Linked DNA regions of Diceros bicornis minor. The protein of the gene in region 2 interacts with the protein of the main gene of each other region in a pairwise test. Links are inferred from orthologs where the notes say so. Each region holds a gene or a part of one and is shown on either strand. Other genes may lie near its edges.

The links.
Region 1: the proteins of PRKAB2 (region 2) and CDX4 interact in binary tests that used the Homo sapiens proteins (3 or more experiments, as listed by UniProt). The link is inferred for Diceros bicornis minor from reciprocal best matches to the Homo sapiens genes PRKAB2 and CDX4.
Region 3: the proteins of PRKAB2 (region 2) and BEND5 interact in binary tests that used the Homo sapiens proteins (3 or more experiments, as listed by UniProt). The link is inferred for Diceros bicornis minor from reciprocal best matches to the Homo sapiens genes PRKAB2 and BEND5.
Region 4: the proteins of PRKAB2 (region 2) and CRX interact in binary tests that used the Homo sapiens proteins (3 or more experiments, as listed by UniProt). The link is inferred for Diceros bicornis minor from reciprocal best matches to the Homo sapiens genes PRKAB2 and CRX.

Annotation. Positions count from the first base shown.
Region 1 is NC_080781.1:66,733,504-66,741,151, forward strand, and holds the start of CDX4 (homeobox protein CDX-4), read left to right. Parts: upstream 1-4,638; 5' UTR 4,639-4,735; coding exon 4,736-5,237; intron 5,238-7,648.
Region 2 is NC_080743.1:52,464,991-52,472,866, forward strand, and holds the start of PRKAB2 (5'-AMP-activated protein kinase subunit beta-2), read right to left. Parts: upstream 3,016-7,876; 5' UTR 2,873-3,015; intron 2,707-2,872; exon of another isoform or gene 2,616-2,706; 5' UTR 2,591-2,615; coding exon 2,435-2,590; intron 1-2,434. UniProt on the Homo sapiens protein: Non-catalytic subunit of AMP-activated protein kinase (AMPK), an energy sensor protein kinase that plays a key role in regulating cellular energy metabolism.
Region 3 is NC_080752.1:12,544,468-12,552,198, forward strand, and holds the start of BEND5 (BEN domain-containing protein 5), read right to left. Parts: upstream 3,004-7,731; 5' UTR 2,939-3,003; coding exon 2,905-2,938; intron 1-2,904. UniProt on the Homo sapiens protein: Acts as a transcriptional repressor.
Region 4 is NC_080773.1:23,297,787-23,304,991, forward strand, and holds CRX (cone-rod homeobox protein), read left to right. Parts: upstream 1-4,186; 5' UTR 4,187-4,192; coding exon 4,193-4,292; intron 4,293-5,056; coding exon 5,057-5,208; intron 5,209-6,086; coding exon 6,087-6,734; downstream 6,735-7,205. UniProt on the Homo sapiens protein: Transcription factor that binds and transactivates the sequence 5'-TAATC[CA]-3' which is found upstream of several photoreceptor-specific genes, including the opsin genes.

The DNA.
Region 1 (7,648 bases), on a different chromosome or scaffold from region 2:
CCCTGATCTTTAGTACATGGGATTTGACTCCTGCTGCTGGCCACTCTGCGTCCTGCAGTGAGGCTACCTCTCTGGTTAACCTCCAGGTAAAGAAAGAAATAAAAGTTTCCAGCCAAATAAACTAGACTGAATCTCCCTGCCTGTCTGCCTCCCTCTCCTACCTCCCTATCCACCCCCACCCCACTCCTACACCACTGGAAACAAACAAACAAAAACACAAAACAGAGTAATCCTGAAGCCAGGTTCTGCCAAGCACTGGACAATGTTCTTACTGGCTTCTCTTCCAGATATCCCTGGAGCTGGGTCAAAATAGTAATTTCCAGTCTATAGTTCTGAGGTCATTTATTGATTCAGCACACAAATATTTCCCAAGGCTCTACCATGTGCATGACACTCCACTCTGCTGGGCTCAAACACACCTCCTCACACCCCTTCAAAGTGCTCAAATGCCAGAAGATTCAGATAAGACCCCAAATAACTCTAAGGTAGACAAGAATATTATTAGTCAGTGGGACAGGGGAGTTGGTAATGAGAGTCAGACAAGAGGAAGAGTGCTTTCTGAGTGGAGCATCATCACATAGGAATTTAGGGAGGAGGGGGCATTTGAGCTGAGCCTTGAAGAATAGGGAGAATTTGAACATTTTTTATGGATAAAAACAGTCTAGACAGAGGGAACTGCATAAGCAAAGATAAATTTTTTGGTAGAAAGAATGTCGCTTTAGGAGTCAACAGACCTGAGTTTGAATCTCAGTTCTGTCATTTACTTCCTTAAAGAATACTTTCCCCTCTCAGGTCCTTAGTTTCCTCATAGTAAAATGGCATTATTAGGCTAGCTAACTTTTAAAGGTCCTCTATGTGCTTCCATCCTGACATAGTTTTTCAAATATCAGGTAGACCAGTTTGCCTCAGGATAGAATAGGTGAAAGAGAATAACGTAAGGGTAATTGAGTCTGTGTTATGATGAGTATTGAATGCCAACCTGGGAGCCTGAGCAAAGAAAGAAAATAGAAGTCAAGCCCCAGGGCCAAGCCCTGAGGTCGTACATTTAGCAGGATTCCAATTTAAGAACAGGAACTTTGAAGTCAGGGTGGCCAAAGATGGAAACCTAGCTTTATTACACACCAGTAGTTCATTTAAATAGTCATTAAATAGGCCCAGTGGCGCAAGCGGTTAAGTGCACGCCCTCCGCTGTGGAGGCCTAGGGTTCACGGTTCGGATCCCGGGCACGCACCAATGCACCGCTCAGCAAGCCATGCTGTGGCGGCATCCCATATAAAGTGGAGGAAGATGGGCATGGATGTTAGCCTAGGGCCAGTCTTCCTCAGCAAAAAGAGGATGATTGGCAGATGTTAGCTCAGGGCCGATCTTCCTCACAAAAAAAAAATAATAATAATTAAAAAATAATAATAAATAAATAGTCATGCCACCTCTCTGAGCCTCAGTTTCTTCATCTCTAAAATGGAAATGCTAGTAAATAACTCATGGGGCTGTTGTAAAGATTAAATGAGATCATGTGCAAAAAGTGCATATAGGTATGTTACTTTCCTGCCCCTTAGTCCCTTCTCCCCAGTGCCAGGCTTTAATTAGTCTTTGCTGTTCCTTCTCCTCTTTCTCCTTCTCCAAAGCAGGCTTCAAAGTATATCCAGAATCCAACCACTTCTCTCCATCCCCAATACCATTCACCTGGATTATTGTAATAGCCTTTTAATTAATCAGCCTGATTCTATTTTGCCCACTTACAGTCTATACTTTATTTTTTCCTATTAAATACAACTTTATTGTTTTGGTTGGACTACATTTCCTTTTTTTTTTATTGCGGTAACATTGGTTTACAACATTATGTAAGTTTCAGGTGTACATCATTATCCTTCGATTTCTGCATAGATTACATCATGTTCACCACCCAAAGACTAATTACATTCCATCACCACACATGTGTGCCTAATCATCCCTTTCACGCTCCTCTCTCCTCCCTTCCCCTCTGGTAACCACCAATCCAATCTCTGTCTCTGTGTTTGCTGTTGTTTTTATCTTCTGCTTATGAGGGAGATCATACAGTATTTGACCTTCTCCCTCTGACTTAGTTCACTTAGCATAATACCCACAATGTCCATCCATGTTGTCACAAATAGCTGGATTTCATCGTTTCTTATGGCTGAGTAGTATTCCATTGTGTGTATATACCACATCTTCTTCATCCATTCATCTCTTGATGGGCACTTAGGTTGCTTCCAAGTCTTGGCTATTGTGGATAATGCTGCAATGATCACAAAGGTGCATGTATCTTTATGCATGTGTGTTTTCATGTTCTTTGGATAAACACTCAGCAGTGGAATAGCTGGATCATCTGGTAGTTCTATTTTTAATTTTTTGAGGAATCTCCATACTGTTTTCCATAGTGGCTGCACCAGTTGGCACTCCCACCAGCAGTATATGAGAGTTCCTTTCTCTCCACATCCTCTCCAACACATGTTGTTTCCTGTCTTGTTAATTATAGCCATTCTGAAGGGAGTGAGGTGATATCTGATTGTAGTTTTGATTTGCATTTCCTTGATATAAAAGACAACCTGACAACTGGGAGAAGATATTTGCAAAGCATATATCTGATAAGGGGTTAATATCCAAAGTATATAAAGAACTCATGCATCTCAACAACAAAAAAAAACTGACAACTCAATTACAGTCTGTTCTTAATACAACAGCCAGAGTAACCCTTTCAATACTTAAGTCAAATTATGTCACTCATCTGCTCAAAATGCTACAATGTCTCCCTACCTTACTTAGAGCAAAAAGTAGAATCTTTACAATGATCTACTCCCTTTTAGCTTTTGGGCCTCATTTATTCTTTAGCCACACTGTCTTCCTTGCTGTTTCTCCAGTAGAAGATAGACATTCTCTTTTCACTTGTTCCCTCTGTCTGGGTCCTCTCCTCCTAGCTCACTCCATCACCTCCTCTATATTTTATTTAAATGTCACTTCTAAGTGAGGTCCTCCTAGACTACCACATTTAAAACTGCAACACCCCCTAGCATTCCCTATCCTCCTTCCTGCTTTCTTTTTCTTCACAGCATTGATTATTACCATCTGATATACCATAAAATTTAATTACTTATTAGTGTTTTTCCTGATTAGAATATAAGCTTAATAAAGTCAAGGGCTTTGTCTGTTCACTGTTTACATCTCCACGCATAGAACAGCACCTAGCACTAAATAAATACTTGTTGAATGAATTAATTAATACAGTAGTCTCATACTATGTATCAAGCACTAAGTTAAGCAGTTTGCATACATTATCGCAGCAAATCCTGCCTTGCAATGCAGACACTGTTAAGATCCTTATTTTACACAAGGAAAAACCTTGAAACTCCCAGAAGTAAAGTGATATTTCCAAAGCCAAAAAGGGAGTAGTTAATGGGGGTGTCAGGCTGGGTTGGACTTTATAGAGTAGCACCTTCCCTGAGTAGGAGCACAGCCTGGACTAAAGGTTGTGGCAGGTTTTGGGAGGGGGGAAGGGATGGGGAAGGGTGGGGGTGGAAGAAACACTGGGATAGAGATTGGTTTTGTGGTCAGGAGGTGATCTGGTTTCTGGAAGAAAAATCTTGAGTTTATTGGCATCTACTGGCAAGCCCATGTCTTTTTCAACAATTGGAGCTTTACAAAGGAAATCTCCTTAAGCGTAAAGAAAATTGGGAGCTGTAGCTTCCTTGGATTTCAGACTGCAGGAATTTGGCTGCTTGGTGCACTGGCTTTGAGGCAGAAGCCATACTTGGCAGAAAGAGACACCCGAGACTAGTGAACTGATATGAAAATAAGAAAGCCCACTACTCACATGGTTCTTCTCCCTCTTTCCTTCCCTTTTTCATAACCTACTCTCTTCATATTTCTTTAATTTGTGCATATTTGTAAAACATCCAATTAATCTAGCCTGTCATCCACTGGAATGTAACCTTAGGAAGGCAGAGCAGAAATGTTTGTCTCTTGTTCACGTCTGTATCCCCAGTGCCTACAACAGTGCCTGGCACACAGTAAGCATAAAATATATAGTTGTGAAATGAATCCCTATCCTTACACACAAAGCCCTCCTCCTGGGGGAGGGGGCAATGAGGAGAAGGGAAAGCTCTTGTCAGTGGTATTATGTACCAGTGCCATGTCAAGTACTCCTGCCAGGGAATGTGGGCAGAGGGGATACCATGGATGCAGGCTGGGTGCGGGAAGATCAGTGGAAAGGGAAGAGACGCTCAGGGTAAGGACTGAATTCCAAAAAGCAGGACTTTGACCCTGCTTCTGCAGTCTCCATCTCACTTTGGAGGGGGCCAGTCAGAAACCTCTGGGGGAGCTCCTGCCTCCAAAAGCCCAAGACTAGTGCTATGGGGAACAGATGGACAAAAGCCAGAAAGATGAGACAGAAAGGCCCAGGAGCTCTGGGAGAGGGAGCAGAGTGAACAAGTCCCTGTGAAAGTGAAATGGCCCTTCATTTGAATGCAAATGCTATGTAAAAGCCTGAAGCCCCTTGATGTCAGCCCAGCCATTGGTGGCCCATCTATACTGGGCTACCAGTCACCTGGAAACAGTCAGGGTAGGAAACGCGGGATGGAGTAGCCTAAGGGGGGCAGAGGAGCTTGCAGCACAGCTACGGACTGACCTATTGATTCCCCGCTGCTTCTCAGAGTCAGGTTGGGGCCTTACAGGGATTTCAGGATGGCTTAGAGAGTTTCTTCCTCATACCCAAGCCACCATGTACAGAAGCTGCCTTTTGGAAAAAGAAGCGGGCATGTACCCGGGCACTCTCAGGAGCCCTGCGGGGGGCGGCACCGCTGGGGCTGTCGGCACCGGGGGCGGTGGGAGTCCGCTGCCAGCCTCCAACTTTGCAGCGGCCCCAGCTTACGCACACTATATGGGGTATCCCCATATACCCAGCATGGATCCTCACGGGCCGCCGCTGGGAAACTGGGGCCCACCCTATAGTCCCCCTCGGGGAGACTGGAGCGCTTATCCAGGGCCATCAAATACAATGGGCGCGGTGCCCATGAACGACATGACCTCGAGCCCCGCAGCTTTTGGATCGCCGGAATACAGCAACCTGGGACCCGCGGGCGGTGGAAGCAGCAGTGGCAGCCTGCCAGCCCCAGCCGGCGGGTCACTGTTCCCCATCGACGCCAGCACCGTCAGTGTCAGTTCTCCCAGCAGAAGTCGTCACAGCCCCTATGCGTGGATGCGCAAGACTGTGCAGGTGACTGGTGAGTAATCGATTCTAATGCCCTCACACCTTTCCTTCCTTTGCTTCTCGTCTACTTCCCTTGGCCTGCCCGCCCTCCTACTCCTCGGGCCTCTCCTGAGACAGCTTAGCTGAGGAGACCACTGCGTGGCTGACTGCCCAGGGCCCCCGCCCATTAGTGACCACCCTCGCGTGTAGCCCTGCTCAAAGCCCACAGTGTGTGGCACTTGGAATTAAACCGACCTTAGGGGTGTTTTTCATCATTCCCTGATCAGTCAAGGAAGCAAGCGGGTGAACAGTGGGCATGTTGAGTCACAAGGATCAGCATCCAACCCTGTAGTTGCCCAGATGGGAAAGCAGATGCACGGAAAAGATCAAAGGGTGAATGAGGCGAAAAGATAGCCACGGTGTCCGGAGGCTCAGTCACTGCTGCTTGCCCGTTGCATTTCAAACTCTTCCCTACGTGGGCGAGTCGGCCTCTCCCAAAATCTCGTGATGCTCAACTTAGCTTCACGGTGCTTGGCTGGCAACAGACCCTCCAGTTTAGCCACGAATGCCCCAATGGCAAAGCGGCCTCCTCACCCTGGCCTCTCAAGGAAGCTCCAGCTTCCTTCGCCCAAGTTGGCAGAGGTGAGCTGGACTCAAACCCAATGCCTTCTTTCAATGTCCTTTCCGCCAGTGGAGGCATTGAGGAAGGGTACAGCACACCGCATGGACATAGTAAACTACTCAAACCCTAACATCCGCTGGGCGCGCTCGAATATCAGCCCCAGCACTAAGTGGTTAAAGCCCTCATAACTGTCCCGGCAGGCGTCCCGAGGCGCAGGGTTTGGATGCAGGTCAGTGACCGCGCGCGGTGAAGGCCCAGAAAGCCCAGCCTAACGCTGACCCACGCTCCTACCAGCAAGCCAGTGGGCGGCTGCTGGGACCCGCGGGCGGGGGAAGTGGGCACTCTGTTTTAATCTTGGACGAGGTGGTAGGCGGGGAGATGTTTGTTTTCAGCTGTAGTTGTTCTTTTATCACATTCTTATTATTCCAACCCGTTGCTCCCTGTGACTCGAGAAAATTAGTAAAATTCGACTCCATCACTTTCATCCCTCTGGGGAGGAAATGACATTTCAATAGCATCTGTCCACAATGATTATGCTCCTGTTCACAATTCTGCACTTCTTCTCCCTTCCAAAAAGTAAAGGTGGGAGGGTGGGAAGGGATCAACTTTTACCATTAAGAGGATTCAGCCGGGAGGAGGCAGTTTAGGACATACTAGGGCAGCAATCTCAAAGTATAAGTAGAGCTTAAATACTTGGCTTTAAAGTGTTTGGAAGTAAATCTGCATTTTTTAAAAATATAGGTGAGTCGGCTGACTAAATAGAATAAATAGAAAATGAGGTTAGGGTGGGGCATACTCAGGGCTGTTATTACATCTAATCTTAGGGTTGTAATTAACGTCCATTCACTAAGCCCTAACCATTAGCAACAGACAGGAAAGTAGCTGCTCCCAGTCCAGGATTAAGTTTTGAAACACTTTAGAAGAGGAAAGTTATCTGTATGTTGTTTGGAAGAGAGAACGATGGGGAAAAAGGGACAAGATAAAAGAAATCTTGAGTCATGAATTTTCTGTTTATAAGAGAAAATACGACAAGTTTCTCTGCTTAAAGTCTTCCATTTGGATTTGCTTTTATGGGCCAGAGTCTCTCTCTTAGGTAATTCTGGTGCCAAGAGAGTTTAGAAAGAGACTACTTAGTCTGTGGTATCGTCATCATTAGTGAAGCTATGTACCTGGCTGTACAATGCCACCTTCACAAGATTTTCTATCCAACTTCTATGAGAAATTTAAAATTGAATGATTTTGGACCTCCTTTGACTCCTGGCAGCCTATCCTATAGATGAGACTTTATTAAATTCAATCATTTTAACGTCCTATAAATTAAAACTACCACTTTGCTATATTTTTGTAGCCCAAGGTGCATATTTAGCAACAATTTAAGAATATGATGGAAACTATGGACCCTCTCCCCAGAAAAATGCACAAAAGCACACCTGCACGCACACACGCACACACACACATCATTTTAAAAATAATTTTGGGATATTCATGGATCCACTGAAGCCCTTTCATGGATCTCAAGTTATGAACTCTACAAAAAAATGAAGCTGATCATCTCATTGGATCACTCCAAACCAAAATGCACCCATTTGTGTGCTTAATACATAGTGAGTATTAAATAAATATTTGTTAAATGAATGAATGAGTCGGATTCTCCTAAATTTTCTACTTCACTCTATAGTATTGTGGGACAACATTTGGCTTATGGCTGAGAAGAAAATAGATGAACTACAAAATGGAAGTAACCTCTCCCTGATTAAGGTAATCAAATGAAAGCTCTTTCCATTACTGAAAAATGTTTTAAATAGCGGTGAGTTAAAGAAAGA
Region 2 (7,876 bases):
GTTAAAAAAAAAAAGGGCTAGCTTCTTCATTTGGGCTTTATTTTCAAAATGGCTGAGGTAATCTACCTTCCATATTGTCTCTCAATATCCCTCAAAACTACACTATGAGACATCAGTAGCAGCATAATCCAAAGTACACGGAGAAAGAGAATTGAAGGGACTTTCACATTATGTAAGGAAGCGGCTTAAGAGAAAACCTTGACCTCCATATTCTTAAAGCAATGCAAGAGGCTTGACTGGCTCCATTAGAATTACAGAAATTTTCACATATGCCTAAGAATAACCCTCAGATTCTGATTTGGATATAGGACCTGGGAATCTATTTTTAAAAAGTTTCTCAGAAAAATAATACTGTGATTATTTTAAAATAAACAAAGAAAGAAACCTCATCTTTAGAGATATATCCTAAAATATTTATAGGTAAAATAATATTCAATGTCTGGAATTTGCTTCAAAATAATTGGTGGGGGAAGAGTAGATTGGGGTATAGATGATATAAATTCATTCACAATTTGATCATTGTTTAAACTAAAAGTTTAAAAGTTTATTACACTTTCTCTCTACTTTGAAACATGGAAAATGTTTCAAATTTTCCATGAAGTGTTTAAACAAATTTAGGTAACTTTAATGTGCAATTGAGAACCATTGAACTAGTCCACTGAAGAAGGCTGGCAGTGGAAGCAATGTAGGCTCCACTGCCACTGTTTCTATCAGTTACTTTGATGATTTAGTATTTTCAGTTTAGAAGTTGAAAGCTACAAACTATTAATATGCCTAGCTTTGGAAGGAAGCCCTTCCACATATGACATGACATTTCTGTGGTAGGCATGAGTGCAGCTGACTAGCAGAAAGATTGTTTACTCCAAGGTAAATAGTCAGCAAAATCATCAGGAAAAGAGACAAAACAATTAGAACTATAGTTTGAAAATGTTCAAATAAAACATTGAGGGAAGAAGTAAAGAAAGTAGATTGAGAACTACAAAATTTTAGATTTGGAAGAGACTTTAGGAATTATCTGAACTGATTTTCTTATTTCACAAACGGCAAGACTGAGGTAAGAGTAAGAATGATCCAAAATAGGCTCCATTTCAGATAGAGCAACTTGGCTTTTATTCAGGACACTGATTACTGCGGTCACAGTTTGACAAATACACTATACTTAAATCCTGAGTCATCAATGTAGGAAAAGGGTAAAAATACAATGAGGTCGATCACCTTGAGAAAGTTTTGAAGAAGTAAATTCAGATGGCTGGGTAGACAGCCCAAATGATGAGGAAGTAGTCCTGAAGTGGGAGAAGGAAAAAGGAATGGAGAAGAAATACCAAGAAGTGGTCCTTTCAATCACCCTTGCTTCTCTTTCTGTGATTATGTTCTCAATTGGGATCCAAGAAAACAAACAGAATCCAAAATCATGTGCTACCAACGAGGCAAATCATTCTCTATATACTTTCTAAAACCCAAGTTGGGTGCGAAGGGATGAAGTGACAAGAAACGTCAAACACACCCCAATCTCCTCAATCTCTCCACTTTTCTACTTCATCCCAGTTGGACTACCTGGAGGAATTAATTTAATGCTGACAGCTCTAAAAGTGATGAGAAACATTCAGATGGTAATCACATTGTTGTTAGCTCCATCTATCCTTTCTTTAGGGTGGATACAAGTTGCCACTTTCCTCAGTCTTTGGAATTGAGAGCAAGGTCTTCAGGGCAGCGGTGGGTTGTCAGTTTTCAGCCATGTAACATTATGAAGTACGACTGAGAAGTGGAGAAATCCTGGAATCATTTGCTCTCCCACTTGAGGAGCAGCTGAGTGTGAAAGAAGCACAAGCTCAGCCACAACTATAAAGTATGGGATGAAAACGGAGCAGTCAGCGAAATGATGTCCTTTATTGTCCCCAAGATTAGGAGAAAGTATTCAAATAAGCAAGTGGTTGCTGCTCACTGCCATGCCAAAGGGGAAGAGGATCAGAAGTGCTGAGCTCCCAGTGGAGCAAAAAGGATACTGATACGTAGAAGTTGTCAGGAAAAAGAAATTCATTTAACCACCTCAGGGCAAATCTGAGACACTGCCGCCTACGGTTAGCAACTCAGGCAACCTAACCCTCTGAAGTTTTCCACCAGGGTTATAACCTATAAATTCACCAATAGTCTAGAAGTGAGCACCTGTATTCGAAGGGGGGGGGGGGTCCACTGTCCCAATCCTAAAAATGTGGCCAACAGATTAGTCGGAAAACAAGAACTCCGCCTCTATCCTATCTTAAGGCAGCACCGCAAGAGGAATTACCATCCAACATCTCGTCTCCAAAAAATCCCTTTAATTCAAAAAACTGTAACCCAAGTCAGTGTGATAAGAAAGAACCAAGAAAGGGAGGAGGCGCCCTGACACCCAGCCCACTGCAGCATCGCCACCAACTGAAGGCGTGGGGACGCTCACCTTGGAGTCCGGCAGGCTGAAGACGCTGGGGTCGTCAGTGCTCCCCACCATAATCTTGTGCTCCTTGCCTGGAGCGTGGCCGCCGGCGCCCTCGGCGCGCGCAGCCTTGGCGCCGTGGCGCTCCCCGGCCACCCTGTCGCTGGTGGTGTTTCCCATGGCTGCAGCTCGAGTCGGAGGCCACCTGCCGTAGGGAACGACACGGAGCGGGGAACACCCCAGTGGCAGCGTCAGGGGCGCCCCCGGCCCCGCCCCTGGGGACCCAGGCAAGGGAATCCCCGCCCCAGGGCAGCGGCGCCCCGGGGTCCCCTCCCTCCCTTGGCCTCCAGGAGTGCCCGAAACCCTCGACTCCCTCGCTGCCCGCTGTTCAGGAAACCCGCTTTCGGCGACTCTCCTGCATCCCCGCGTTCCCTGCCCAGGGACGCCCCCACCCCCAATCACCTCCCGCGAGGCGTGCCCTCCTCCCCCAGCCACTGGCGCGACGCCTGCTCTACGGATAACGCCACCAATAAAGTTATTAAAGTTGAAGCCGCGCCCCAGCTAGCAAACCGTGTCTCCTCCTAAAATGGCTACAAAGCCAGTGGCGCGGGGCCGCCCGGCGCGCGTACCCTGCGGCCGCGCCGCCGCGGCGCCCGGGGCCCGCCGGCCTCTCTAGCCGCCGTCGCCTCGATGGTGGGCGGCCGCGCGCAGCCTCCAGCGTCAGGCGGGGGCGCCAGCTGCACAGTTAGCGGCGCGCCGGGCTCACCGGCACGCCTGGCGAGCCTGCTCCAGGAGCCGTTCGTGTGTTGACCACTGGGCGCTCACTGCGGATTAGATGGCCTCGGAATGACACTGGGGGCGGCCTCCCTGTGCTCGGGTGCCGGGTGCTCGGGTACCCGGAGGAGCAGCGCTGCTTTCTTCCCGGCCCCCTCCCTGGCCTCAGGTTCACCAGAACGTTTTCTGGGCAGCGTCCTTGTGATAGGCGACCGGAGAGGTGGGTTCCTATAGAGAATAAGAAAACAGACCTCCCACTGAAGGCAGAAGGAAGTAGTGGTAATTGCTCCAGGTTAAAACTAAGTGCTGGGGGTGCAGTCAGCCCTACTGGGGCCCCTGGGAAGAAGGAGTGATTAGGAGAGAAATTTTAGTCTAAGGAGAAGATGGAGAAAGCTATTTTAGGCTAAGAAACAGCATATGCAATGAGCAATCCCAAAAGAAGTACAATTCAAGAAAGAGAGCAACAACAAAAACATCAGAAGGAACACTAAAAGCGGAAAAGGGCAAAGACAGTCCTCTGGTTGGGACAGATCCAGGTTTTTACGCATAATTAATGGAACTCATGGTATTTACTAATTCTTACTTTGTAATAGGGGTAATTATATGCATGTTTCATTCCCTACTAGGTAAAGAAACAAGATCTGTTAGTCAATGCCAGTATAATTTTTCCCTTTAGACTCATTGCTGTTGCATCAACGTTCTATCTTTCCTTCCAGAGGGAAGGAAAAGAAGGAGGTAATAGGCAAAGTAAGTGGTGGAAGTTCTCTTGATGTTACCGTATCTCAGACATCATTGCCGCTGGTCTCGGATCAGCCATTCTGCCTGATAGAGGAAAATAACAGAGAGCATGGGAGGCCTCACAGAACAATAAGCTTTTATGCACACTGCTAAATGTATTCTACTTCCTCTGAGAGGTGAGGATGTGGGAATGGGGAAAGAGTATATTGGTGTTACAGAACTGGATGATAGGTTAGATTGGGCATCTGGAGGTTTACATTACCATCTCCACTCTCCAGGTTCCATCCCCATTTGTGATCAGGGATGGGTATGACATCTCATCTTGGTGATTTACATTTCAAAAAACAATCTGATCTTTTTTATAAAGTTAAACATACATTTAAAATGCAGTTTAGTAATTTCACTCCTAGGTATTTATTCACCTGAAATAAAGACAAGTTCACACAATCTGTACACAAATGTTTGTTTGTACAAAACACATGTGGCTTTATTCATATCTCCCCCAAAATGCACACAACACAAATGTCCTTCACCTGGTGCATCAATAAACAAAATATAGTATAGGCATAAATGGAATACTAAGCAATAAAAAGGATTAAACTCTTGATACACACAATAATGTGGATGAATCTCAAAGGCATTATGAGACGTGGAAAAAGCCAGACTCTATTTATATGACATTCTTGAAAAAGCAAGACTTAGGGTTAGAAAATAGATCAGTGCTTTCCAGGAGTTGAGGGTGAGAGGAAGGGTTGACTACGATGGGACAGGAGGGAATGTTGGAGGGGTTATGAAACAGTTCTATGTCTTGATTGTAGTGGTGTTATGTGTCTGTCAAAACTTACAGAACTGTGTACTAAAAAGGGTGAGTTTTATTGTATGAAAATTATACCTCAATGAAAAAATTAAAACAATTTTATAGTGTTTTAAAAATTAGCTTTAGCAAGAGGAAAGATACAAGTTTATACACAAGACACTACTCAACCATTGCAGAAACTATTTTTGAAAACAAATACCATTGATTTTATTTTTAATTTTTTCTACGTTTATTGAGGTATAATTGACAAATAAAATTATATATATTTAAAGTGTACAATGTGATGATTTAATAAACACTGTGAAATGATTACCACAATCAAGTTAATTAATACACTTGTCATTTCAAATAGTTACCTTTTTGTGTGTGGTGAAAACGCTTAAGATTTACCCTCTTAGCAAATTTCAACTATACAATACAGTATTATTAACTATAGTCACCGTGCTATACATTAGATCCTCAGAACTTATTCATCTTATAACTGAAAGTTCATACCCTTTGACTAACATCTCCCCATTTCCCCCACCTCCCAACTCTTAGCAACCATCATTCTACCCTCTGTTTCTCTGAGATCAACTTTATTTTAAATTCCATATATAAGTAATACCATACATTTGTCTTTCTCTGACTTATTTCACTTAGCATAATGCCCTCAAGATCCCTCCATCATGTCTCAAATGGCAGGATTTTATTCTTTCTCATGGCTGAATAATATTCCATTGTATCTTTATCCATTCATCTCTAGCCAGACACTTAGGTTGTTTCCATATCTTGACTATTGTGAATAATGATGCAATAAACATGGGAGTGCAGAAATCTCTTTGAGATTCTGATTTCATTTCCTTTGAATAAATACCCAGAAGTGAGATTGCTGGATCATGTGATAATTCTATTTTTAATTTTTGAGGAGCCTCCATACTTGTTGTTGGTATATTCCCACCAACAGTGTACAAGGATTCCCTTTTTTCCACATCCTCCCTAACACTTTTCTTTTTTTTTTTTTTTTTTTTTTTTTTTTTTTTTTTTTTTTTGTGTGTGTGAGGAGATCAGCCCTGAGCTAACATCCGCCAATCCTCCTCTTTTTTTTGCTGAGGAAGACGGCCCTGGGCTAACATCGGCGCCCATCTTCCTCCACTTTATATGGGACGCCGCCACAGCATGGCTTACCAAGCAGTGCGTCGGTGCGCGCCCGGGATCCGAACCAGCGAACCCCGGGCCGCCGCAGCGGAGCGCGCGCACTTAACCGCTTGCGCCACCGGGCCGGCCCCCACTTTTCTTTTTGATAATAGCCATTCTTATGGGAGTGAGGTGATATCTGTTCGTGGGGTTTTTGTTTTGTTTTGTTTTGTTTTTGTGAGGAGGACTAGCCCTGAGCTAACATCAGATGCCAATCCTCCCCTTTTTTCTTGAGGAAGATTGGCCCTGGGCTAACATCCATCCCCATCTTCCTCTACTTTATATGGGACGCCGCCACAGCATGGCTTAACAAGCTGTGCATCGGTGTGTGCCTGGGATCCAAACCTGCGAACCCTGGGCCGCCGAAGCCGAGCGCGCGCGCTTAACCACTGCGCCACCAGGCTGTCCCCTCTTTGTGGTTTTGATTTGTATTTCCCTAATAGTTAGTGATGTTGAGCATCTTTTCATGTGCCTCTTGGCCATCTATATGTCTTTGGAAAAATGTCCATTCAGATCCTCCACTCCTTTTTTTTGTAATCAAATTGCTTGATTTTTGTTATTGACTTGTGTGAGTTCTTTATACATTTTGGATATTAACTCCTTATTATATATATGATTTGCAAATATTTTCTCCCATTCAATAAGTTGCCTTTTCATTTTATTGATGGTTTCATTTACTATGCAGAAGCTTTTTAGCTTGATATAGTCTCATTTGTTTATTTTTGCTTTTGTTGCCCTTACCTTTGGAATCAAGTCCAAAAAAGCATCGTCTAGACCAGTGTCAATGAGCTTACTGCCTGTGTTTTCTCCTAGGAGATTTATGGTTTCAGGTCTTACGTTCAAGTCTTGAATACATTTCAAAGTAATTTCTGTGTATAGTATAAGATAGTGGTCCTGTTTCATTCTTTTGCATGTGGCTGTTCAGTTTTCTCAACACCATTTATTGAAGAGACTGTCCTTTACCCATGTATATTCCTGCCACTTTTGTCATAAATTAATTGATCACATATGCATGGGTTTATTTCTGGGCTCTCTTCTGTTCCATTGATCTGTTTGTCTGTTTTTATGCCAGTACCATACTGTTTTGATTACTATAGCTTTGTAATATGGTTTGAAATCAGGGAGCATGATGTCTCCAGCTTTATTCTTCTTTCTCAAGATTGCTTTGGCTATTTGGGATCTTTTGTCGTCCCATACAAATTTTAGGATTGTTTGTTCTGTTTCTGTGAAAAATGCCAATGGAGTTTTGATAGGGATTGCATTGAATCTGTAGATTGCTTTGGGTAATATAGACATTTTAACAATATTAATGCTTCCAATCCATGAGCATGGAATATCTTTCCATTTATTTGTGTCTTCTTCAATTTCTTTCATCAGTGTCTTATAGTTTTCAGTGTACAAGTCTTTTACCTCCTTGGTTAAATCTATTCCTAGGTATTTCATTCTTTTTGATGCAATAGTAAATGGGATTGTTTGCTTAATTTCTCTGATAGTTTGTTGTTAGTATATAAAAACACAACAGATTTTTGTATATTGACTTTGTATCCTGCACCTTTACTAAATTCATTTATTAGTTCTAATAGTTTTTTGGTGGAGTCTTCAGGATTTTCTGTATATAAAATCATATCATCCACAAATAGTGATAGTTTTACTTCTTCCTTTCCAATTTGGATGCCTTTTATTTCTTTTTCCTGACTAATTGCTCTGGCTAGGACTTTGTACCATACTGCTTTGATTACTATAGCTTTGTAATATAGTTTGAAATGAAGAAGTGTAATACCTCCAGCTTTGTTCTTTCTCAAGATTTCTTTGGCTATTCAGGATCTTTCATGGTTTTTTATTTTTTATTGTTTTTTAATAGTTTTTATACAGGCTGAGAAGTGGTAGTGAACTTCTTACATTCTGCCCACCCAAAGGAAAAGGGACCAGGGGCCAGCCCAGTGGCATAGTGGTTAAATTCA
Region 3 (7,731 bases), on a different chromosome or scaffold from region 2:
AAGAAACAAAGATTGGGCCGCCCCGTGGTTTAGCGGTTAAGTGAGCGCGCTCTGCTACCGGTGGCCCCGGTTCAGATCCCCGGCGTGCACCGCCGCCGCACCGTTTCTCTGGCCATGCTGAGGCTGCATCCCACATACAGCAACTGGAAGGATGTGCAACTATGACATACAACTATCTACTGGGGCTTTGGGGGAAAATAAATAAATAAAATTAAAAAAAAAAAGAAACAAAGATTAAGCCAGTTAATAGTGATTCAGAAGTTAAATGGTTTGGCTCCTACCTTCATCAGTTTTCTCTCATCAAGGTTACCAGTGATGCTAAATCTGCTGCTAAATCTACTTTTTCAATCTTCCTTTTTATATCACTTGGCAGCACTCAATCTGTTGAATATGCCATTTATCTCAAACCATTCTTTTGGTTGTCCTCTTATCTCTCTGGTTGTCCCTTTTCCGTCTCTTTGGAAGGCAATAAAATATTGCAGCTACTCAACACTTAATCCCAAGCCTCTTCTCCCCACACTCTTTACTTTGCCTCTAGGCAATTTCATCCACACTCATGACTTCAGCAATTCTCTCTATACTAACCCAAACTTTTCTTGTAAATTCAACTGCTTTGTCAATCTCTCCACTTATTTGGATGTCTCAAAGATACCTCAGACTCCATATGTCCAAAACCAAACTCATGTCCTTCCCTTTCAAACTTAGCCAAGATCCCTTCAAATGCTCTCTATCTCCATAATGGCACCACCAACCATCCAGTTGCACAAATTAGAAAATTAGAAGTATGCCTTGATATTTCCTTCTCCCTCATGCCCATCTTTCACTAAGTCCTATTAATTTTATCTCTTAAACGTTTCTCAATTCCTTCACTCCATCTCCATTGCTACCTTCTAAGAGGTCTCCCAATATCCACTCTTGTATCTTCTGCACTATCCACACTGTAGCCAGAGTTATTTTTTTAATGATTCTAATCACGTCATGCTCCCACTTTCAAAAGCCCTCAATGGTTTCCTTTTATTATTAGGATTTTGGACCAAAATTGGTATCATAACCTATAAGGCCCTGCAAGATCTGCTTCAGCTTACCTCTTTTCTCCTCCTATTGCTCTATATGCAGCCACACTTGCCTCATTTCAGTTCCTTAAACACAGCACATCCTGTTTCCTCTTACCTTAGGGTCTTTGCAGGTAGTTTCCCTCTGCCTAGATTACTCTTTGCCCTTCTCTTCATTTATTCAATCTCCATTATATCTCAGCTAAAATATCACTTTCTCTGAGAAAGCTTCTTGAACCTCTAGACAATATCAGGTCATTCAGTTATTCATTTAACAAATATTTATTAATAACCTACTCTATACCAGGAACAGTTCTAGATACATGGGCTTAACAAACACAACAAAGACACTTGGCTTCATGGAGCCTATATTCTAGTGGAAGAAGACAAGCAATAAGCAATAAAAATAAGAGGATTAAATAATACGTGTGAAGGCAGTAAGCCTATGGGAAAGAAAAAAAAAGAACAAGGTAAGAGAATCACAGGCAGGGAGTTTCCAGTGCCTAACTTGGTGCACAGCATATAGTTGGCCCTCGATAAATATTTGTTGAGTGGAGGAATGAATAAAAGAATGAGCAAGTTCAACTTATGAGGAAGCTTAAACTACAAAATGAGTAGATGAACTACTTGGTGGAAGAAACAGAGGTGCCATGAAAAAAAAGAGAAACCATTCGGGTCTTGAACCATTTTTGATGGCTTCATACAGTTTCCAGTTTCAGTCACTGTGTGGTCTTACCATAATCACCACCTTCCCCACCCACAAGGGCTGGATAATTCAAGTGGGTCACTCTTGTAACCAAAATACCTAATCAGGACACCTATACAAGATTATGTATACCTCTGCCATCACCTACCACCACATATATCCCCAAAGCCACTGCTTTTCTACACACACACATATATCATTTGTACTGAGGCTCCAGTTCTACAGTCACCAGCCACTTCTAGGGACAAACTCCCTCTCACACACACAGGACTGTGAAAACCCTGGCTCTCGTCTATAACCCTCTAAGACACTTAGGTCACTATCTCTCCAAGCCTGACCATACTCACAATGGGGTCCCCTCAGGAATAGGATCCTGGGTCTCCCTTCCTGTCAGTCTCCCTGCACCTTAAAGGCTATCTTCCACCCACAGATATGTGGACATGCACCTCTCTGTGATTCTGAATGACCTTCAAGATCACTGATCCCACATACACTCACACTCAGGTTCCAGCCTCCTTTGGTAAGATTCTGAAGGACTGGGGCTCTGGGTGTCCCCTCAAGTCTCTTGTTCTCTTAAGGACCCATGCAAGGATTTGTATACTTTCTCTGTGGCCTGGGCTGACCCTAAGGCACTACATTTCCCCAAAACACAATACTCGGTGTATACCCCCCTTCCATGGCACTGCCTGATATGAAAGTAACGTTCCTCCACATACACCTGCCTTCTCAGAATGAGACCCTCTCCTCTAAACCATGCCCCTTTAGGGAGCCTTCCCATATTCCCACAGGACTGTGTACACCTTCTCCATGACCCAGCCTACCCCACCATCAGCCCGCATCACAAGCGCCCCTCAGGACTGGGGTTCTGTGTCTTCCTGGGATCCCAGCCCTTTCTGGGCCATGCTCACTCAGGAGTGTGCACATTCCCTCATACATCCCCGCACCACCGGGACTCCGAGGTATCTGCTCGTCCCGCAGAGGGGTACACACCTCCTTTGACCTTTGACCCCGAGGTCATAGCCCCACCGCGCAAACGCCCAGGGGCTGCCTCCTCAGGAGTAGGGCCATACCCAAGTCCCCTGTCCCCTCAGGCCCAGGACAGCCTTGCTGCCTCACCGCTTCCCCTGATCGACCGCCCCCACAGACCTGCCTCAGGCGCCGTCTGGCTCCGCTCCGCCATTTTTTGTTGTCCCTCCGCCTCTGAGCCCACGCAAAAATCGCGGGGCAGTGAGGAGCGGGCGATGGGATCAGCGGGCTGACAGGAGCTCCCTCAGGAAGACGCGGCGCGACGGTTGCCAGGGCAACGGGCGGCCGGCGCCCGGGCGGCAGGCGCGTGGCAGGGGCTGGGGGCGGGCGAGGAGGGAGCGTGCGTCGGAGGCCCCGCCCCCGCGGCTCGCGAGCCCTCGGGGGCCGGGCGCCTGGGGGGCTGGGAATTCCGCGGCGCTTCTCCACCGCAACCCCGCCACGGCGTCCTGGCAACTGAGCATGCTCAGCCGCCTCTGGGGTTCCAGGACTAGGCAGGTCTGCTGGGATGGCCCTCTCATGCCGCCGACGTGTGTCCTCCTGCTGACCGCAGAGGTAGATGGGCTGGCTTTTCTTTGGTTGGTGCTCAACTCTGGGGGCATGAGACAGGTTTCTTGATTTCCCAGCGCTTCTCCCCCCAGTGTGCCTGGCCCTGGTCGAAGTGCTGGATAACTTATGTCTTCAACTGAAATGCACTGAGAATCAATAATTCTGTACCCACCTCACCCCGAACACCCAGAGGCCCGAGATCGGGCTCCTCGCCGCTTTACAACTGCCCCTGCCACCGACTCTAGAAAAGGCTTCCCTTGTGCTGGGGTATTCCTCAATATATCTAGCATGACCTTTCCCATCTCTTCATGGGGAATCGCCAGTATCTTCTAAGACCGAGCTAGAACATGACCCTTTCCTGAGCTGCTCTGTCATCCCACAGTTCCCCATACACCCCTGTTCTAATAACACTTAACAATGCTCTTTGCATTAGCTACTTCTGTCTTCCTCACTTGAGGGTGAGCTTCCTGATGCCTGGGGTTGGTCTCTTCATCTTTGTGTACTCCATAATACAGCATAGTGCTTGACGCAAATTAAGCGCTCAGGAAATGTTTATGAAATGAAAAATGATTCCGGAATTCACTCCTACACATTCCTACCAGTTTTATTGAGCGCTTAATTTTTTAACAACTACCTTGGTAGGTAGGCCCCTTCTCCTCAAAGCGCTCACAGAGAAAGAGAGAAAATGGCTTGGTTAGAGGTTAATTAGTGTTCGAAGTGCTACAGGATTATAGAGATGGAACTCTAAATTGGGGGTGGGCGGGGACCAGTGAAGACTTCAAAGAGGAATGGACACCCTAGCTGAGTCTTGAAGAATGAATAGCTGTCAGCCAGGCAAAGGAGAAGAGTATGCAAGGAAGAAGGAGCAGCATGAGCCATGGCACAGAGTGTAGGGATGAGCAGTGAAACTACAAGAAGCCCAGTATGGCTAGAGTACAAACCACATAGGGCAAATGGTTGTCTCTAAAGAAGCTCCTGTATAGTTAAGTAGTGTCTTCACTTGAGTTCCTCAAAAGCAGAGCCTGAGGCAAGGACTTGGGTGCTGGTAATTTGTTTGGGAGGTAAGCCCAGGAAACAGAAGTGAGGTGGAGAGAGTGAAAGAGGTAAGGGGAAAAAGCCAAGAAAAAATGTGTTATTGAGCTGATTGCTCATTTAGTAGATGACTGGGCTTACTGTCTACTGGAGACACACTGAAGAACCACGTGGAATGTGCCTCAGCACTGTCCCACTAAAGAACAAGGAGACTGGGTCATTTACCTCTTAATTTCCACCCCCATTGGTTGAGGGTTACCTCCAGCCCCCAGCTTAAACTCTTTCATATTTTCTGCTTTTGCTTGCCCAGGTCTAAGCAGCCTTCCAGGGTTTGAGAGAAAGCCTTGAGGCAGAAAAGCAGAGGGCCCAGAAAGCTTTTGGGGTGGAATGCTGGCAACATGCATGGAACTATCCCTTCGCCTGCAGTGAAATCAGGGATAAGGTGTGGGCACCACAACAATCTTCTACAGAAAGGTACATGAAAATACCCCTCAGAAATATCCCTCACGTTTAAGAAGTTTAAAATTCACAAGCCATGATAACACAACTATCAAGATGAAAACACACGAGCTTTCACAAATCAATCCTAATGACTGATAAAGAGTGTGAGGGCTGTAGGAATTTCAGTGTGAGAGGGGTTGCTGAGGGCTGAGGAGGACAAAGGAGCTTCATTAAGTATAGGAAGATGGAAAAAAGGAGTTTGAAGACCCAGGTTCTACTCAAACTCTGACCTAATAGTTTTATAATCTTGGATAAATCATTTATACTCATTGAGCCTCAGTTTCCTTTTCCAACAAACTGAGACAAAGGCCCTGCCTACCACAAAGAGTGCTCTAAGTCACGAATGGGATGATGGATTAAAATGCATTTGACAAGTTTAAATCTAGCAAATAAAGAACCTAGCACGTTTTAGAATAATTCACTTAAACATCCGTTGATTCCTCTTCTGAGCCAGACTCTGTGCAGATGCTGGAGATAAAGAGGTGAGTATAACACTGTCTGTGGTTTCTAGGAGCACGTAGTCCAGAAGGGAAAAAGAGATTTAATCAGTAATTACAACCTAGAATGATCAATATTCTGATAGAAGAAAGCATGAGAGGCTGTGGGAGCCCAGAGGAAGGGCACACAACCGAGCTTGGGGTACAGGGGATAGGTAAAGGGTTGTTCAGGGAAAAATTCCTGGAGGAGAGAGTATCTGATCTGACTCTTCAAGGGCGAGTAGGAGTAAGATGGGCAAAGAAAATGGTAGTACAGGGAGAAAGGGTCGTTGAGTCAACAAAAAGAGCATGGGCAAAGAAAAGAATAGTGTGTCAGAGGTGAAGAGCAAGGCGGGAGTGGTAAATCAGTAGGTAAGGGCAGATTCTGGAGAACTCATATGTGGGGGACTGGATCCTGTAAGTGACAGAAGCTCATTGACAGATTTTTAATCACTTAAGTGATTTTAAGTCCCCAGTCAGGGACCTGGTTAGTTGCTCTAGTTGCTGTGTAGAGAGTAGATCAGAGCCAGGAAAATCAGGAGGCTGTGTAGTAAATAATCTATACAAGTGTGTGTAGCATGTAGAAGGTTCTCATCAAATGGTAATTTGAAATACCAACAAAAACATTTGTACAGAACTACATTGTGCAATTTAAATTTTAAATAAAATTTAAAAATCAGTTATTTAGTCAGACTAGCCACATTTCAAGCACTCAATAGCCACATGTGGCTAGTGGCTATTATATTGGACAGCATATGTATGGAACATTCCCATCTCTGCAATAAGTTCTGTTGGACAGCGTGGATAGACAAATACCTGGGCAGAGGAGATGGAATGCCTGGAAAAATCAGCACTTAACAGGACCAGGTTCAATTCTCCTGTGTGTCAGCTCCTCTTCAGGAAGCAGTGCGGGAGGCAGGTTAGACTTATTCATTTCTGCTGGAGTCCTCAGAGACTTCCTTCTTATTGTGTGAATAGCACAGATTGGGGAGGGAGATAGAAATGCCCCCCACATGGGCTCCTGGGAGTTGGTTTTCCCAGGCTACTGTTCAGAGTGTACCTGGGAGGTCTGCCTTCCCCTGGGATCTCCTGTGGTTTCTGTCTCCAGAGACAGCCACCCATCCACCACAGAGCTAGGGTGGCTTCCTTCTAACAAAATATTCCCTATAGGATTCACTCACTCCTTCTGTGAACATTTATTAAAATGGTGCCTTCCCTGTGCCTGACACTGGGTTAGATGTATTCAATTATATTCAATTATAGTTACATTTCTCATATGCACAAACTCATTTAATTCTCAAAGCAACACTATAAAATTGGCATTAATGTCATCCTCCTGTACAGAAGATGAAATTGAGATTCAGAGAGTTTAAGTGACTTACACAAAGTCACACAGTCAGAAAGTAGCAGACGCATGAAAGACTGGAATGGTGCTAAGAAATTCACCTATGTTATCTCATGTAATTTCACATCAAAAATCCCATGCCTTTGATGTTTACAAACTAATTGGGAAGAAAAGATTAACACACACAAATCCAGTTTACAATTAATTTCCAAAGAATGTGATGAGAACAGTGACACAAGGATGCTCAGACAAGTGTAGGAGCATCAAAGAAGGATGCCCTTGGTGAGCATCAGGGAAGGTTTTCTGGAGGAAATGACCCTTGAGCTGAGTATTAAGGATGAGGGGGTTCAGCCAGATGAATTGTAGGGTCTGGAGAAGAGAGATGAAAATACTTTTTACTCCAACTTGTCATTTGTATTTCTACTTTGCTTATTGTTGGTTTGGCCTTCTAGAAATGTCATCAATCTTTTCTTATTTGGCTTTTAAGTTTTGTTTAAAAAAAAAAAACAACTGCCCTATGCCAAGGCTATAAAAGAATTATTTGAGAATTTCTTCTTAACTTGGATAAAATATTTAAATGTTAAAACACGACCAAACTCAACAGAAAGAAAAATATTCTGATGTTGAAAGGAAGAAAGATTTCAAAGGTGTGAAGTCATATGTCCTTGCAGTTTTCTCTGCCCAGAATGCTCTTTTTTCAGATATCTGCTTACGGAACTCACTTCATTCAGGTCTCATCTCAATTGTTACGTTATTGGAGAGGTCTTCCCTGACAATACTATTTAAAATGTACTCCTTAAACATTTCATAGCTTTTATAGTATTGTGAATAGTATCTTATGTTCTATAATTTTTTCTATTTGCTTTGCTCATGTAGACAAATGCTATTGATTTTGTGTTAATATTATAATTGGAAAATTCCATGAACTCTCATATTATGTCTAACAGTTTGTTGATTGTTTCAGATGTTTTTCTTTTTTTTTTTTAAAGATTTTATTTATTTATTTATTTTCCCCCCAAAGCCCCAGTAGACAGTTGTATGTCATAG
Region 4 (7,205 bases), on a different chromosome or scaffold from region 2:
TCCCTAGCAGGGCAAGTTCACAAATCTCCCTGTTTCCACTCTCTCCGGAGGTTTCGATGAAATGTCACCGCTCCTTGGAGAAGGGAGAGAGGACAGAGGGAACCCGTGCTCTGGGGCTGGGAGAACAGGGCCTTCGGGAATTCTCCAGGGCTGGAATCCCAGTTCCCCACCACAGCCTGTGTGTGATCCTGGGCGAGTCATGGTGCCCATGCCTGAAGATGTTCTCATCTCTAAAATGGGAACATAATAGTAATACAGTGTCTATGTCCCAAGGTTATACTGAGGACTGAATGACATCCTGCATAGAGAAGGCTTGTGTATTGGTTATCTATGGCTGTGTAACAAGTTACCTCAAAACTTAGCAGCTTAAAACAGTAAACATTTATGATATTATACAGTGTCTGAGGGACGGGAATCCAGGGGCAGCTTTACTGGATGATTCTGGCCCAGGGTCTCTCGTGCTTATAGTCAGATGTTGACTAAGGTTGGAGAATCAACTTCCATGGTGGCTCATTCCCGTGGCTGTTGGCAGGAGGCCTCAGTTCCTGGCCACACAGACCTCTCCATGAGACTGCTCGAGTGTCCTCGTACCATGGCAGCTGGCTTTCCTTGGACCAAGTCCCAACCCTGGAAGTCACACTGTCTTGTCTGCAATATCCTATTGGTCGCACACATCTGCCCTGCTCAGTGACAGGGAACAACACGAGGGTGTGAATACCAGGCTGAAGATTACGGGGCACTACCGAGGAAGGCTGTTGATTCTTAGGATTGAAAGTTGTTGTTCTTGCTTTTATTATTATTATCAGCACTGAGCCTTCCCATGACTTTCCTATCAAGTCTTATAATCCAAGTCATTTTCTCCCTTGATCTCTCTGCTCCCGTGACACTGGACAGCTTGTTTCTCCTCCAACAAGACAAAACGATTCCAGCCTCCAGGGCTTTGCACCTGCTGTTCTCTCTGCCCCGAAGCCTCTTCCCCGAGATCTTCACTGATAAGAGTCCTTCATCTTGCAGCTCCAAAGTCACCTCCTTCCAGAGAGGTCTTCCCTGGTCATTCATCTAAATTAGATGCCTCATCCTCACCCCAAACCCCATCACTCTCAGATGACCCCGTTTAATTTCCCTCAGAGCTCTTGAAAGTCTTTGAAAGGATTTTGATTTTCTAAAAAATCTCTTTCCTTGTTCACTGCCCGTTTCTCTGACTGGAACCTGGAAGTTCAATCCTGTGAGAGCAGAGAGGCTGTGTGTCTTATTTCTTGCTATATCTCTAGTTCCTAGAGCATGGTTGACTCTCAAAAAATATTTACTGAGTGGACAGTAGAGTCAATTTATAATAAATAGAACTCTCCCTCCCAAATGGGGGGTGAGAAGGATGGGACAGTAAGTGAAGGAAGGGGCAGGACCTAAATTAATGTCATCTGTTTTTTATTCATTGGCTTATTTTTCAAATATTTATTGGGGGTCCTGGAGACCCGGCAGGGACTGGGGAGACAAACAGGTAAACAAACTTATAAATACGTCATATTTAATACACATGATGTCCTGCAGAACAGGAGAGAGAAAGAGTATGTCTGTGTGTGTGTGTGTGTGTGTGTGTGTGTGTGTGTGTGTGTGTGTGAGAAACCCAGTTTAGGGTGTGGGATGGCTCCCCCGGGAAGTGATATTTTGAGCTGTGTCCTGGAGGAGGAGAAGGGTGAGCTGCTGAGGGGGGTCCGGATCAGAGGAGTCATTCCTGGCCCTGGGAACAGCTTATGCCAGCATCTGGAGAGGCCGAGAGGTTTCCTGAGGCCAAGCTAACGAGGGCAATAGGAAGCCCTAGAAAGGTTCTCATGGTTTTTTTCTTTTTAGTTCTTATCATTGTTTTTGTTTCTGAAAAGATAACACACACACGGTTCAAAAGTGATACAAACTGTATAAACAAGGTATGGATACAGCGCACCTCCCCAGAGGCAGCCACTCTAACCACAACGTGTGTCCTTCCTGGCAATTTTCTATGAATATATAAGCACATATATACATATATATGTATTATATATATATTTAAAAGAAGGTAGCGATTACATATATAAACAGATGTTATATATAATATATAAAATATATAATAGATGTTATAATATATTTTATATATTTATATTTTTAAGTTAAATTTATTTTTGAATAAATTAAATATATTTATAAATACATAGTAGATAAATATATTAAATATATATGTAATCACTACCTTGTATTAAAAATCACAAATGGTAGCATGCTATATACACTGCTCAGCACCATATTTTTTTCCTTTGACTATATATAATATATATTGTATATGTACATATTATATAATATATATTACCAAATTATACATAATATATATTGTATAATACACATACACACACCACACACCCCTATTGTCAAAGTGTAATTTAAAAATATTTAAAAACCTGACTTTCAAAGATTTATTTAAGCCATTAAACGAGGGGACCAGCTGTTTCAAAGGAGACTTCAAGGAACAGAGATTAATACAGTTATTCAGGAAACGAATAACTGCTGAAAAATGTTTGCCAGGTTAGATAGGAAACTGGTTTAAGTCCTACAGGGGAACCAAACTGTATCCTTTGAGGTTCTCTTTTCTATCAGTGGAATCATTGGCAATCAAACTTCTAGAAGTTACTATTTACCTTGTCAGAATAATTAGGAAGTAATTAGTAAGTACCCTAATCAATAGTGAATGATAAATCCAACAAAGACACAGTTCTCTAGAAAATGAAATGATCCTTGTGTGGGTCTGTAGGACAAGCCTCCAGGGGGACCTGGAAATGACAGGCTGTCATCCTTTTGTCTTATTGCCAAGCTTAGGATGATTTTTCTTAACTATATACTAGAGATCTTTTAAAATCAATTCATAGAAAGTAGCCTCCTACTTTTTAATGACCATATAGTATTCCCTTGCACACATGTACCGTAATCTACTTAACATAACTGACTGAATTTACACAATTTATATAATTTATTTAATATATCCCCTTTGGTGGGCACATAGGCTGCTTCTACATTTTGGCGATTTTAAAGATGCTGCATTAAAAAAGAAACATCTACTCGTAAATAACAACAATGATCACCAACAATTGCATAGGACTTACTCTGTGTCAGGCACTATTTTGAGCACCTTAAATGGACGTTAATGCATTTAACCCTCACAACAACCTAAAGACATAAATGCTATTTTCATTCCCATTTTCTGATGAGGTCACTGAAGCACCCAGTGAAGGTGAATTGCTGGGAGAAGGAAAAGATGGCCTTTTTCTTTGATAAATATTTCTAATTTGTTCCGATCCTCGCTGCTGCCGACCTGACACGAGTGTGCCTGTTTCTCCACACTGAGGCCAGCCCTGGAGTCATCAAACATCTTTTATCTGGGCCAGCCCAGTGGGGCATAGTGATTAAGTTCATGTGTTCCGCTTCGGTGGCCTGGGGTTCACGGGTTTGGATCCTGGGCATGCACATATACACCACTGCTCATCAAGCCACCCTGTGGCGGCATCCCACATACAAAGTAGAGGAAGATTGGCTCAGATGTTAGCTCAGGGGCAATCTTCCTCACACACAAAAAAACAAAAAGAACCTCTTTTATCTTTGCCAACCTGATGGGTCAAAAATGGTCATGGAAGATCATAACTCACTGTCATTTTAATGTACACTCTCTTAGGGTGACCAACCATCCCAGTCTGTCTGGGACTCTTCTGGTTTGGGAGCTGAAGGTCCTACACCTCTAGAAGCCCCTCCGTCCCAGGCAGACCCAGAGAGAGCTGGTCACCCTACTCTCCCAGATTCTGCATGAGGCTGAACATCTCTTCCGGGGTCATAGAATGAAAAGATCTTGGAGAGGGAGTGACAGGATCAGATTTTTTAATGGACAGAGTAGGAAGAAGGGCTTCCATGTAGGATGCCCATTACAGCTTCAGCTCTCTGCTTTACAGACAGGCTCTCCATGAAGCTTTGACAACCTTAAGCAGAGGGTCGTTTTATGGGTAGGGAAACTGAGGCGCAGAGAGATAAATTGCCCAAGGTCACATACCCAAGAAGAGACTGAGGCAGGATTTGAACCTGAGCCTGCCTGTCACCACTGTGTGAGTAACTGGAAGTGTTTGAGCATTGCCCCTTCTTCTCTTACAGGCCCCTGTCCTGGGCCCCAGTGTCTGTGAAGATCATGATGGCGTATATGAACCCGGGGCCCCACTATTCTGTCAACGCCTTGGCCCTGAGTGCCCCCAGTGTGGATTTGATGCACCAAGCTGTGTCCTACCCGAGTGAGTACAGTCCTTCTCCCCACCACAGGCTGGCCCCCACCTCTTGGGGGCCTCTGGGGTCCCTTGCCTTCAGGAAGAAGATGGGCACTTATAGGGATGACTGACAAGGTGGCTTTTCAATCATAGAGCCATACACCAGCCATATGTGTTCATCTGCAACTGCAAAACACTACTCCGTGTCACCTAGGGAGCCAGGAAAGCAGAAGGACATTCATAGACATTTAGGGTAGTGGTTCCCTCTGGGGTGACAGAGGGGGAAGCGATCTGGAAGGGGGACCCAGAGGAAGTTCCATCTGTTAGCAATGCTTTATTTCTAAGAGAAGTGAGCACTCAGTTTTTTGTGGCATTATTCTTTAGTTGTTTTTTCTCTTATTCAGTTGAACATGATGGACCTGCCACTTTTATAGGCTAGAAATGGTTAATTATCTGCAATGTCATGTTTCAACTGAGTGCGTCTTAGTGCATAAGAAATTTTAGAAAGGGGGTGAAAACCAAGCTCTTACAGCTCCTTACAGGGCTAAAGACAGGTCTCCTCAGAGTGAGGCCTGAGCCCCATCATGACAGGCAAAGAGGGACCCCATTTCCCAGATGGACAGAGTGAGGTCAAGAAGGTCAGAGAATAGGCGCCCCCTCAGATTTGGCAGATAAACACCCAGAAAGGGCTTCTTAGCGTCCCACGCACCCTCAGGGCCTCACACCAGCAGAGGAAGAGAATGGGAGGCCTGGATCCCCCTGAGGGTCCCATTTTCCCGTCCTCTCCCCAGGCGCCCCAAGAAAGCAGCGGCGGGAACGGACCACCTTCACCCGGAGCCAGCTGGAGGAGCTGGAAGCCCTGTTTGCCAAGACCCAGTACCCGGACGTGTATGCCCGCGAGGAGGTGGCTCTGAAGATCAATCTGCCTGAGTCCAGGGTTCAGGTGGGATGTTCTGGTCCCTGGGCCCCTCCTGGCCCTTCCTGGGCCCAGAGTGAAAGGAAGAGGAAGAGATCATAGAGTAACAGCCAAAGTCATAAAGGGCCCTAATAATCCCTCATCCCTGTTATTTCACTGGCCTCCTCTCTCCCACTCTCCTCCATTCCCATCCCTTCTCACTCTACTCTGGCGACACTGTCCCCTTGTTCTTCCTGTAATGTGCCCGCCAAGCCCACTCCTGCCTCAGGACCTTTGCACTCTCTGTTCTCTCCACCCAGAACGTTCCCCACCACCTTGTTCAAGTCAGCCAGTCAACTCACCTTGTCAGTCAGTGAGACTCACACCGGCCATCCCACTTAAAGTTGCCATCTTCCCCCGACCCAGCTCTACTGCTCCCCCATCTTGATCAACAGGTTCTTCCATAGCATTTATCACCTTCTAAAATACAATGTGATTTACTTACTTACTGTTTATTTGTAATCTGGCTCTTTCAACTTGAATGCCAGCTCTGCTGATGTATCCTCAAAGTAGTAGAAGATGGTTAATGTGTGTTAATTAACTGATTGGATGGATGGATGGATGGATAGGTGGACGGATGGGTGGGTAGATGGGTGGATAGGTGGATGGATGGATGGGTGGGTGGGTGGGTGGGTGGATGGATGGATGGATGGATGGATGGGTGGGTGGGTGGATAGATGGATGGACGGGTGGGTGGATAGATGGATGGATGGGTGGGTAGATAGAGTGCCCCATAACTGATTGCAAACTGGAGAAGTATGATTCTGGCATGTCTCACCAATAAGCATCATCATTCCTGGGCACCACGAGGGCTCTCCTGGGCCTCCTGCCCACTCACTCACACGATTTCCCCTCTTCCCCCCTAGGTTTGGTTCAAGAACCGCAGGGCCAAGTGCAGACAGCAGCGGCAGCAGCAGAAACAGCAGCAGCAGCCCCCAGGAACACAAGCCAAGGCTCGTCCTGCCAAGAGGAAGGCAGGCGCATCCCCAAGACCCTCCACAGATGTCTGTCCAGACCCCTTGGGCATCTCAGATTCCTACAGCCCCCCTCTACCTGGGCCCTCAGGCTCCCCCACCACGGCAGTGGCCACTGTGTCCATTTGGAGTCCAGCCTCAGAGTCCCCTTTGCCTGAGGCCCAACGCGCTGGGCTTGTGGCCTCGGGGCCTTCTCTGCCCTCAGCGCCCTATGCCATGACATATGCCCCCGCCTCTGCTTTATGCTCCTCCCCCTCAGCCTATGGGTCTCCGAGCTCCTACTTCAGTGGCCTGGATCCCTATCTCTCTCCTATGGTGCCCCAGTTGGGGGGCCCAGCTCTCAGCCCCCTTTCTGGCCCTTCTGTAGGACCCTCCCTGGCCCAGTCCCCCACCTCCCTGTCAGGCCAGAGCTATGGCGCCTACAGCCCTGTGGACAGCTTGGAATTCAAGGACCCCACAGGCACCTGGAAATTCACCTACAACCCCATGGATCCTCTGGACTACAAGGATCAGAGTGCCTGGAAGTTTCAGATCTTGTAGAAGATACTCTTCTCCACCTCTTGTCTAAATCTGCCTCCCTACAGCTTAGATACTTGGACAGCGTCCCTGAGAAAGAGCAGGAGCTAGCGGTCCTTCCAAAGGTTGTGGCCTCTTTGGTTTCGTGTGTGGCTTAGCTGAACACGGCCCACCCCTTTCCTCCCTGGGAGAGAGGCTCCTCCCTGTCCTGGGGCAGCTCAACAGGGTCTTAGTAATTCTCTCAACCCCAACACCATCTCACGTGGATTCTAACTGGCATATTAGACCATGAACCCCAGACTTCAGAAAACTGGTGCTGAGAACTAGCCCGGAGACGAAAGTAAACCAAGCTTGCGGTTGACTTGGGGGTAATGCTTAGGTCTGAATCGAGATGCCCTTGAACAAACAGGTAGGGAGGCTCGATTCCTTAACTTTCGATTTGGGACACTTCTTTAGCATACGGCTAGAGATCCTTCTAGAAATTCCAAAGACGGA